Linked DNA regions of Caenorhabditis elegans. The protein of the gene in region 1 purifies or fractionates together with the protein of each later gene. This does not show direct contact. Each region holds a gene or a part of one and is shown in the gene's direction. Other genes may lie near its edges.

Region 1 (3,773 bases):
GCAGGTATCCTTAGGTCACTGGTTCGAATCCGGTTCGACGGATTTCTTTTTTGTTTTTGGTTGTTTTTTAAGCCAGCCGCTAGCACGCGCCAAGTGTGCACGTGTTGCCTTCTGAAAATTCTGAAAGGTCAACGCATAGGTGGCGCTGAGAAGTGGTTAAGTTTCCTGCACAATGTCTAATTTTGCTTTTCTCCGTTCTAAACTAGAATTTTTCAGCCAATCGACGTAATGGCACTAAACTCGAGTTGTTTATCACGTGATGGTGACGTGGCATTCCTCATCAAATCCTCCGAACTACAGCGAAGTACGGTGAATTTGAACTTTCGCGGTTGGAGCAGTACGCACAAGTCATAGATGCATTTTTTTTAAAAATCGTTTTCCTGTTGATATATATTAATTTTGTTTGAAATGGTGGTTTTTTTTAAACTTTATTATGTTATTTATTTGCCCTCGGTCTTTGCCTTTTTTGTCAATATATACGTTGCGTATGAAAAACTAATTTTAAACGATTTTTAATTTTTGAAACATGCTACACTATTGCAGGCGATTAGAGAAAATGGAAAAATTCGTATTTTTTGTACGTTTGGAAAAATTGAAGAATCTATAATTTCTAGGAGAGTGTTTCTTTAATACCTATCAAATCTAATTTTTAAAAATAAAACTTTAAAGATTGTCAATAGTTGCCTCTTCAAAATTACTAGATGCCTGTACATAACTCCCTTCCAGATCGATCTCCAATTTTCAAAACTTCAAGAACGGGAAGTCCCGATATTACTGTAAACTACAAAAATGCCTTGCTTACGTGACAATTGCAAAGGTTTTGTCTGATAAGATAAGATATTAGTCGACTAACGCCATCAGTTTCACATCAGATGACGTCATTTCCAAACCACGCCCCTTTGTAACGGTAACTTGTGATAACACTAATCACCTAATAAATACTGAATCTGATCAGTTGGATTTCGAACTTCTAAAAGTTTAAATGTTCAACCTAACAAACAAAAAATTATTTCCAAAAGAAGAAAAAACCAGAATCTCACGTGGCAGACATAGACATACAGTTTATTTTTCGCAATGCTTTGCCGATCTTTTTCCGATTCTATCTTTTTTCTCTTGTTTCCACTCATTAAGTGTCACTATTAATTCAATCTGTCGTCGTTTTCATATTTTCTTTCACAAAGTATCTCCTTCTCCCTTAACTGTTAACGATGGTCGATTAGCGATTTCTTATTGTAAATGACTGGTTTTGTCACGTTGTGTTCCCCTTCGCATTTCGCCGTTACTTGTATGTGTGACTACTGTAATTGTAACTGATAACATTTTATTATAAAGTTTTTTAGATTTTGAGCTTGTCAGTCTAAGTGTATTGTGTACAGTTATATTTATTATCTAACAGGATTCCTAGTGATTTTTATGATGGTTAGTCCTTAACGTTTCTTGGTCAGTGCATATCCATTTTTGGTCAGTGCATATCTATTTTTGGTCAGTGCATATCTATTTTTGGTCAGTGCATGTCTATTTTTGGTCAGTGAATATCTATTTTTGGTCAGTTCACAAAACGAGTATCATTATGCATGTGAGCCTAAAAAACCGTGTTCTGCAAATTTGGTAACTATCATATCAATTTTTTCCGATTATTCTGAACATTCGAAACATTGATAGGATTATTGTTCCCCAAGCTTTTGGTGGTTTACTAGAAGTTGTTTATTCCTATTGGAGACGTCTAAGAAATTATGATTCGTATTATTTCATTACTTTTTTTCAGTTAGTAAATTTTCTTTAGGAGTTTATTTATTTTATTTTCAACTTTTTTTTTATTTACTATTCAATATGACAACATTCCTGTTTTCAGAAAAATGATATCATTTGTTCAGTTAGTTGTTCAAATTCGTGAAATCTTCCAACAGAAATTGATAGATGTTGACGAAGTGATGAAGCTGATGGCTTCATACAAAAGCAACGCAAATGAGTGGCGAAGATTTGCCATTTTCGATATGAACAAGTGAGTGCTGGTTTGTTCCAGAAAAAATTGAAATGCATTTTTGGGGGAAGATGAGATTACAGACTAATCTACTTTTAAGATCTGCGTAATTTTTAGAATTCTTCGGAAATTATGAATGATCGTGATGTATTATATTGGTGTTTGGTTCTGTTAAAAGAAATATTGAAAATCTTAACATTTTTACCAAATTCATAAAATTAGAAAACATTTTTCGAACAATTATTTAGCAGAGGATGGTGAAAATAGAACTAGAACAGTATAAATTCAAGTCAGTTTGGTAAAAGTCTTTTCACGAAAATTTACTATTTTTTTACAGATACACAAGAAACCTAGTGGATGTTGGAAATGGAAAGTACAACTTGATGATTTTGTGTTGGGGCCCCGGTATGGCTAGCAGGTACGTTAACTGAGATTTATCATCATATAACATTCATTTTACGAAATTTAGTGTTCACGATCATACTGATGCTCATTGCTTTGTGAAAATTCTTGATGGAGAGCTCACTGAGACCAAATATGCCTGGCCAAGAAAACGACACGTGCCACTTGATATTTCAGAAAATAAGACTTATGGAATGAATGGAGTTTCCTATATGAATGGTAAGATATTTGAAAACACTTAATGCATCTGTCTTTTACAACATGGTTGCCTAAACTTGAAAACAATGCTAGGAACATAATAACAACTTCATTGCAATTTTTCAGATGAGCTTGGTCTTCATAGAATGGAAAATTTGAGTCACTCAAACGGAGCTGTCTCTCTTCACTTGTACATCCCTCCATATAGTACTTGCAATGCATTCGATGAGGTTAGTCAATCGGCGAAGGCTTTTAATATTTTTTGAATATATTTCAGAGAACCGGAAAGAAAACGCAATGCACCGTCACATTCTACTCAAAGTACGGCAAGAAAGTTGACTACAGAGGATCTAAGAATGGCAATTAAACAACATATCCCTCAATGTAATAACGTGTTGATTCTTTATTATAATCTTCATTAACAGACAAGTGTCAGCATATGGTTCTTGGAATGTAATTGTTGATTTTTCTTCAGTGTGATATTACGATCCTGTAGAAGTCGGATCACATCCGGTCTGCAAAAAATATAACTGTGATCTTGAAAAATTGTGTGATTTTGTTGCAATGAATTATTTCGGTGGTATTTTTTTAAACTTTTTCAAACCGCGTAAAACAAGGAAGTCTCAAAGAAAATTGAAACAAAAGACACTTCTTGCAAAGTGAAAAGTACTCATTAGAACAATTAAAACCGAAAAAAATGGAGTGTTTACTCACTTGTTGACCGGATAACAATGACTCAACATGATGGTCAAGTCGCTGGTTGAAGTTTGCTCCCAGCTTTGCACAATTTGGGATACAGCTTCACTTGATAGGAAGCATGTGCCTAGATCAATGGTTTCCACTGGAGATCCATTTAGAATTGCGCTGCAAAGTTATAAATTTTGATATCTCGTAAAAAATCTGGTATATTGAATTTTGTGGAAAAATCTGGTCAGGGTCAAAGTTTTCAGTGCATTACAAAGTTTGATCGGTGCGCTAATTTTCTTTATCAGGACATTACAAGTTGTTGGCTAGCACAATAATTGTTTTAAATACCGCATTACCAAAAAACAATTTTAGTTATTTATGAGACTTTGTCCTCAAGTTTATTTTTCAAAGGTGATGATGTGGTCAACGCGTTAAATTTATTGCAAGCTATGAACAAGGTATTTTCAATGCGAAAAATCAAATTGACATCTTCTGTCATTTCTGT
Region 2 (4,474 bases), on another chromosome or scaffold:
TTCAAATAACCCAATACAGGGGTGGTTGGCAAACTATTTTTTCCGGCAAATCGGCAAATTGCCGGAATCGAAGCTGCCGGCAATATACCGCAATGAAATTTCCGGCAAATCGGCAAACCGGCAAATCACCCAAATTGTCGTTTTGTACAGTTTTTTTTTTGGAAATTTCAGAATTTCAATTTTAATCGGCAAAATTGTACGCATTCTATGAATGTTCCTACATCTGTTTCGAAAAGTACACAAATTCTATGAAATTATCTGAAGACAACGGGGAAAAAAATTTCAAAAAGGCGCAAATTTAAGTGTTTCGGTTTCATAAATAATTCCCTCTAAACACTTCCCGCAAATTGGTGTTCGGCAAACGGCAAATCGGCAAATAGCCTGAATTGAAAATATCCGGCAAATCGACAAACCGGCAAGTTGCCGGAATTGAAAATATCAGGAAAACCGGCAGTTTGCCGATTTGCCGAGTTTGTCGACAAAATTTGCCAAAATTGCCAAATGGCAATTGCCGCCCACCTATTGCCGGTTCAGTATTTTAATGAAACACTTCAAAATTTTAACATTTTTCAACATTTTCAGTCAAATTTTTGGTGAAAAAAATTCGAGAATCGCTGGTTTAAACCCTCACCAATAATTAAAAAATATTTGAAACACCATTGAATCCGCTCGTTGAAATTTTTAAAAGTTGTTTTTTTTTAATTTTTGAAAAATTTTACTACGATTTTTTTTTTCAATTTTAGGAAATTCATGTAGTTGCTTGAATTTTTTCCTTCCTCTTTCTGAATTTTTTTTGTATTTTTTGAAAATTCGGAAATAAAGGCTGTCAAAAAATGTAATTTTACAATAAATTGTATTCTCGCTTTTACATATTGAATTGAATTGAATTTATTACGATTGAAATCATGATAATAAACGTAATAAACATACGATAATAAACATACAGAAAACTAATAAACATACAGAAAATGAATTATCATCTGAAAAGTTGATTAGTTGGTACATGAATGTGCGGGTGTCAGGGAGATGAATAATGGGTAAAAGTATTAAACATGCATAGGACATGAGGTGCCAAAATAAGATTCATTGCGCAAGATTCATTGCGAAATAAGATTCATGTCCGAAGTTGACTTTTTTGGAATTATCGTCCTTTATTACATATATTGGTAGTTTATCTCATTTACTTTCGTTGATATAAGGTATATTTAAAGCCGATAGGTAACCAATTTCGATAATTTTTGGTTCCATATCGGCTAATATAACATACATAACATACATAACATGTGATATAACATACATATCTGAAAAGTCCCCTATTTTTGACAAAAAAACAACACCCAAAAATACCAGAAATGTCAAAAACTGCAGCGACCGACATCTTGTGAGTTCGCTTTTCCTGATATACTTCAATTGACTGGTTTAAAAACTCAGCTATCGATGGGCAAATTTTCGGCAAGTTTTCGGCATCAGGCGACCAAATTGCAAATCTTCGCAGTTGGCCAAACGTATAATTTTGTTGAACTCATATTTTAGAGCTTTTTTCAGTTTACAGTGTAATTTTTGCATTTTTCTGAATGCGAATTTTTTTTTCTCAAATTTTCACGTCTTCACACAGTTGCAACTCAATGTCAATTGTTAGACGGTTATTTTTTGATTTTCTTTTGGCCAGAAAAAATTGTCCAAAAAGCTTGTTTTTTTATCAAATGTAAAAAAAAACTCATCTAATAGTAAAGCTAAAATTTTATTCCAGTAGGGTCCAGAGTACCCGATGGGCACACCGGCCACACTCCAACTACACAGCTGACCCGCGCTTCTCTCCTCTTTTTCGTTTGGGTACGCAGTTGACGTCATATCTTCTTTCTTTTTTTACATGCCAGCTTCATGTTGTGCTTTATATTTTGTCTTTTTGATTTTCCAGCAATCGTTGTATTTTTTACGTTTCTAGTACAAAAATGGAGAAGGTCAGATTTTTTTTTCTAAACACAAATTTGATTAAATTTGATAATATCTCGTGAATAAAAATGTTTCAAATTGGTGATTTATGATACAAATTCTTTCAAGAAAATCAATAATGATTATGTCAAAAGGAGCATTTTCCACGCTACCCGCCACCGAGCCGAAGTTGTATTCAAAGTTGGTGCAGTTCCAAACCAAAAGGAGAAGATTGGTAGATTTAAATGCAGTTTATGAGGTAGGTTGACACTGAAATACTGATTTCTCAATTTAAAAGTCAGTTTTTCAGGACTCATTATCATCTGGCTCCCCATTGGGTACTGTGATTGGATTCCATGGAACTCCAGGGTCTCACAGGGATTTCAAGTATGTCAGGCAGCGATTGGAGCACATGAATATTAGATTTATTGGTATTAACTACCCAGGATTCAAGCAAACTCCAGGTAGTTTCAGTTAATTAATAAAAAACCATCAAATAATTAAAAATAAATTTCAGCGTACCCAGGTCAACACTTCGGAAACTGGGAACGAAATAGTTACTCAGAAGCTCTGTTAAACGAGCTAGATGTGCCGGGAAAAGTGATCATAATGGGGCATAGCAGAGGATGTGAGAATGCACTGATAACAGCAGCTAATCGGAAACCTCATGGACTAGTGATGGCTAATCCAACAGGGTTGAGGATTAATAAAGGGTCTCGTCCGAAGGGAAAGTTGGAGTCGCTGATTTATTTACATAAGAAATTGCCGAAAAAGATTGGAGATGCCATTTTGTATAATTGTGAGTATAAGCAAAATGAGAAATATGCCATAGGCCACTACCAAAAAATGTTTCAATGTGGTGTTTTACTACTGTTGAGGCTCGTCAAAATGCTTGAAAGTTGGATTTTTTCATAAACTTTTTCATTTTGGGAGCGTTTTTGATTAAAAAAAAAGCAAAAATCTGAAAAGTTTTCTGGATGTTGCCTACCCCTAGAGCAATTTTACGAGCTTCAGAACAATTGGAAAAATGTCCTGTAAAAATAAAATTTGAGATCGGAAATTTTCTAGTTCAAAACGCAGCAAAATTATTGGTAGTGGCTTATTTAAAGTGTAGTTTTGGCAGTTTAGGAATACGTATTTTCGTTAGACCTAAGTTTTTAAAAGTGGTGTACCGAAATCTGAGACTTTACTTTTTTAGATCCAAAATGACCCAAAACTACCAAATTTCGTAATGAGATGTTCTGAAAATTTTTCAAATAAAAGTTATGTCGGCTCAATGTTTTAGAAAAAACCCGTTTTTGAGAAACTTTCAAAACATCTCATTATGAAAGTCGATGGTTTTGGGTCATTTTGGGTCTAAATAAGCAAAGTCTCAAATTTCGGTACTCCACCTTTAAAGGATGTTCGAAATTTTCAGGGATACTTCAGATCTTATAAATTATTTCAATTTCCAGTAATGAAATTGGTTGGATTCAAAATTCATGATGGTGAAGAAGCCGTGGCGGTTATTCGAGCAATTATGAACTGTGACCTGGAAAAGCAACTGGAATACATTCTGAAATTAAATGAACTGCCCACAAAGACTATGATCACTTTTGGCGGAAGTGATCATTTAATTGAAAAGGAAATTGTTTTTGAAGCACTCAAAAAGTATCAGGGACTCGCGCATTTTGTAAGTTTTGTGATAGAAAAACTTGAAAAATTGGAAGGAATTTCAGAATTTCAAAGCGAATATCACAGAATCCGAAAAGCAGAAAATAATGGAAAGTTTCAAAAATCAAAAAGGAACATCTGTATTTATTGCAAAGGATAATCATTTTCAAAATAAGAAGCGGGCGGATTTATTGGCAGATGCTGCTAGATCAATGTTATTAAATTAATGTTTTGAAATTTTCAAATTGTTTAACTTTACAAACAAAAGGGAAATCTGCAACATGAACAATATTTTCAACGACTATAATTTGAGAACTGTAATAGTAATTTTATTCAATAATAAACTTACAAAAAATATTTAGCTTTTGAAATACTGCCCCAGAAAAAGTCAGCAAAAATTACAAAAGACAACGAATTTTAGGTGAACCAAAGTTTTTAATCGGCAAAAAAAAGAGTTTTTCAATTGAAGGTTGATGAAATATTTATTCAAAGTTTTTTAGGGAAGATAATACTTATAAACGAGAGGATAAGAGGAGGAAACTGGAAAATTTGAGGTTGGTGATTCTCTAAAGAGAAGGATTTACAGCTCTGGTTACATCGATGAGCTCATCTAAATCAACTTGACCATTTCTGTCGATATCGGTGTAACGGAAAGTTTTGCGAATCCCTTCGGCAGACAGCCGTGCTTGAAAGTTGCTGAAGAGGGGTTCCAGTTCAGCAACAGAGATGAAGCCATTTCCGTCTTCGTCAAACTCTTGGAACACCTTTTTAAAATTCTCTTCACTCTGTGCCAAGCCTCTTAGCGACAACATAGCTCCTGTTAGCTCCTGTAAAGCATCTATACAAATTGTTTCGAACATTATTAAAAACTCACTCCAAGAGCCTCATT
Region 3 (3,673 bases), on another chromosome or scaffold:
GGGAAAAATTTAATAAAAATTAATTTTTTTTCAAAACTAGTCAAAAAACTATCATTTTTTATATTTAAAGTTTTAAAAATCAATAATTTGAAAATTTTCCCAATTTTCAGTACAATTTTCTTCGAACTCCTGCTCCGCCGTATGCCAACGGGCTGTGACTCTTGGGATCAGAAGCTCTACGCGAAAATGTGCGGCCAAAAAGCGGCACTTCAACGGCTCGACGCCCAGCTGCAAAAAATCGACGGAAAATTGCACGAACTGCTGCTGGAATGCTGGTCGAGCCAACCGGAGAAGCGGCCGAGTTTCCAACAAATTGTGAAGCGAATTACAGTTCAAATGCCGAGAAAAGAGTCGAATAAGCAGAAGAGACGCAGCACGGCACACGAGAATCCACTGTTTTAGTGTGTAGAATTATCGATTTTTTATGTACAGAGAGAGAGAGAGAGAAGAGAAAAGAAGAAGAAATTAGACATTTTATCCATTTAAATACCTATATATATATACAAATATTTATCCTATATTCATCCCTGCCCCTGCCATTGATCTTGTTTCATAATCATATCATAGTTTTATCAGAAAAAGAAAAAAAATCCCATTTTTCCATCATTTTTATCCGCGTTTTCCTATTTTCCTCCAAATTTCCCAAATTAATCCCGCCAAAAAAATTTTTTAATTTAAGTTTAATTTCCCGCCGTTTCCCTTCCTGTGCCATCCTTTTTCCCCCCTGAAAAGAAGCAAAAAACGAGTTTTATATACCACAACCGGATTCCTACTATATTAATTCCAATTTTATCCAATGATTTATTTATATTAAATTATATTTTCTTTTTTTCTACCATTTCTGTGCTGCCTTGAAATTTTTTTGTTCCCGCCTTCCTCCCCTGATATATAGTTATATATAGTTTTTCGACAAATTTTCAATTTTCAAATGAAAATATCGACTTTTTAGTTGGAATTTTTTGGGGATTATCCAGGAGTTTTTTACATATTTCATGTAATTTTATTCGCTGAAAATTGATTGAATTTCAGGATTTTCGCGCGAATTTTGGCTGAAATTGGGCATTTTTACGATTTTTCTCTCAAAAACTTGAAAAATTTAATATTTCCCTTTGAAATTTGCAAAATTAGGTTAAATTAAACCTAATTTTGTAAATTTTCGTTAAAAACCGTTAAACAAACCATTTTATTCAGTTTTACAATGAAAAACTAGCCGCGACGCGACACGCGCCGCTCCGTAAATCTACCCCGGCCGTAGCCGAGTCCAAATGGCCTAATTACCGACTTTTGCATAAAAATTGAGTTTTCAACACGATTTTTTCTCTAAAATTTACAACTTTGGAGAAAAATCGTGAAAAAAGCATTTTGGGCAGGTGTGCGCCTTTAAATTACTGTAACTTCGAACTTTGGTTGCTGTGGAATTTTAACCGATTTTTCATAGTTTTTGATTGAAAAAATTCCTACAGTAATCTTTAAAGGCGCACACCTGCTCGCAGTTCAAAAAAGGCGTGGCGAGACCTGGTACCGTAGTTTTGGCGCGAAAATCACAAAATTTGGCGTCTGGGCCTTAGAATAAGCAAGCGCGGCGCGGTTTTTTTTTGAATTTTTCTCTGTAAAATTTTTTTAAAAATCGCAAAATTCAGGATAAAAACGTCTTGGTAATTTTTTTTTCAGATTCCCCAGGAAGACCCTAAAAATGAAATCTCTTCGAGCAACTAACATCACAACGGCCAAAGCCGTCATCATTAAACCTCCCCACCACGTAATTCTCGGCAAGAAGCATCGCCGACGTGTTGGTGGCAATCTTCGGGATACCGCCATTTTCTGCGACTTTCTGACGTCATTTTGCTACGTGGCAATGGAAAGATGCTCGCCGAGCACGGCGGATTGGCCGAAAATGAAGTTTGGACAGGATTATGAGCATTCGAAATGCCCGGATGCACGATTTCAGCGACACGTTGAAGAAAATTGTCAGCTCGCGGAGCAATATATTGCGGCAGGACGATTATTGGCTTTTGAAGGTTTTTGGGCCTAAAATCTAGATTTTTAATTGATTTTATTGTATTTTTTGCTGTAGAAATGCTTTAAAACCCAGAAATAAAACTTGCGCGTCAAATACAATGCACTGCGTACACTTGCGGTGTTTGCACTGAGTGCATTTTAATTGACGCGCAAATCTTTTTTTCTGCATTTTTTTCGAAATTCTTGAATTTTTTAGCTAATTTCAGATGATTTTTGATTAAAAATAACTTGAAATTCTTCCAGTATGCATGGTAACACCGTCGGAAACTCAACTCGTCGGATTTCGTGTCACTATCAGCCGATTGAGGCGCCCTGATGGGTAAATCTTACAGAATTTGATGATTTTTCACTAAAATTTTATAATTTTCAGCCGTAGAAGTCCAAATATCTACGCCAGGCTCTCAGCGATTCTGGAGAAGGTTCGAACGATGGAAATTACGGAAAAATTGGATACAATGATGAGCTCCTGCAGTGAGTTGGCCAAAAAAAAAATCTTCTGAAAATGGGCCAAAATCGACGAAAAAAAAAACCATAAAATATGACTTCTCCAGTCAAAATCGGCAAAAAATGCACCAAAATCGACCAAAATTTACGTAATATTCGCTGAAAATGGTTTTTTAATCCAATTTCCACATATTTCTGAAAATTTTTGTCGATTTAGCTTATTTTCCACCGATTTAAACGGAAAATTCTCAAAAAACGACGAAAATTTGCGAAAAAATGGGAAAAATTCATTAAAAATTGTAAAAAAAATTATTTTTTTATTCAACTTCGCCAGTTTTTTGCAAAAAATTCTATCGATTTTGGCCTATTTTCCAGCGATTTGGGCTAAAAATTCCCAAAAAACGGGAAAAAAATTCAAATTTTCCAGAATATCGCCCTCGAATCCGCCTTCTCGCCCGTCTTCGCCCCCAATCCAAACGGAAAGCCGACAAATCCAAAGTGGCCGATAAATCTCAAACTTTTTCTCTTCCAATTTCAAATTCCATTCGATTAATGTACACTGGAATCTCATTTTATGCTTTTATGTAATTCTGAATTTTTGAAAAAAAACACAATATTTTTTTAGATCACAACGTATTTATTACTTCTTCTTCTTTTCAAGAAAAATAGTCCAGACAAGCCTAATGAGAGCCTGAAAGCCTGGAAATTTTGTCTTGATAGTGATCTATTCGATTTCAGTGAAAAAAATCGCAATCCGTACAGATGGTAGAGGTGGAAATGCGCAAAAAACGCCAAAATCTCAGTGGAAAGTTGGCAAATTTTCGGGAAATCGCAAATTTCGCGAGAGAAATTTGATACTTTTCCCAAAAAATAGCCAAGAAACAGGAAAAAAGATGGAAAAAAAAGTGGGAAGGAATGCGAAAACCTGGGAGATCGAGGTTCGACTCGCGCGAAAATTTAAAAATTAAGGCTTCTGAGAGATTTAAATGAATGGGTGGGTGGGTGAGGGGGAAAATTTAAAATTTTCAAAAAAAACCAATAGACTAGAGAACAAATTTAGCCGGGATTACTGTAGCAGCTAAACTGTGTGGATTATATATATTAAAAGATTATAAGATATTGATAGATATATAGGATTACTGTAGACTGTAGGCTTGGTTACTGTAGGATAGTGTGACCAGACTCGGGGGGATATGAACATTAAAATATG

What was found.
Region 2: the proteins of cdo-1 (region 1) and K08D9.4 fractionate together in Caenorhabditis elegans (co-fractionation; one large-scale study listed by BioGRID). This does not show direct contact.
Region 3: the proteins of cdo-1 (region 1) and F58D5.9 fractionate together in Caenorhabditis elegans (co-fractionation; one large-scale study listed by BioGRID). This does not show direct contact.

The regions. Positions count from the first base shown.
Region 1 is NC_003284.9:861,658-865,430, reverse strand, and holds cdo-1 (Cysteine dioxygenase 1), read left to right. Parts: upstream 1-1,852; 5' UTR 1,853-1,856; coding exon 1,857-2,002; intron 2,003-2,224; exon of another isoform or gene 2,225-2,246; intron 2,247-2,318; coding exon 2,319-2,399; intron 2,400-2,450; coding exon 2,451-2,602; intron 2,603-2,707; coding exon 2,708-2,811; intron 2,812-2,858; coding exon 2,859-2,948; 3' UTR 2,949-2,999; coding exon of another isoform or gene 3,000-3,096; 3' UTR 3,097-3,164; downstream 3,165-3,773. Other genes in the region: lgl-1 (Lethal giant larvae homologue 2 domain-containing protein), read left to right, coding at 217-354; F56F10.2 (F-box domain-containing protein), read right to left, coding at 3,000-3,096, 3,296-3,445.
Region 2 is NC_003283.11:3,198,011-3,202,484, reverse strand, and holds K08D9.4 (AB hydrolase-1 domain-containing protein), read left to right. Parts: upstream 1-2,061; 5' UTR 2,062-2,071; coding exon 2,072-2,191; intron 2,192-2,242; coding exon 2,243-2,396; intron 2,397-2,449; coding exon 2,450-2,731; intron 2,732-2,824; exon of another isoform or gene 2,825-2,845; intron 2,846-3,386; coding exon 3,387-3,604; intron 3,605-3,650; coding exon 3,651-3,812; 3' UTR 3,813-3,941; downstream 3,942-4,474. Other genes in the region: Y73C8B.5 (EF-hand domain-containing protein), read right to left, coding at 4,152-4,412, 4,460-4,474.
Region 3 is NC_003279.8:12,044,614-12,048,286, reverse strand, and holds F58D5.9 (Cystatin domain-containing protein), read left to right. Parts: upstream 1-1,668; 5' UTR 1,669-1,693; coding exon 1,694-2,018; intron 2,019-2,262; coding exon 2,263-2,338; intron 2,339-2,389; coding exon 2,390-2,490; intron 2,491-2,890; coding exon 2,891-3,051; 3' UTR 3,052-3,086; downstream 3,087-3,673. Other genes in the region: ksr-2 (Kinase suppressor of Ras B), read left to right, coding at 111-402.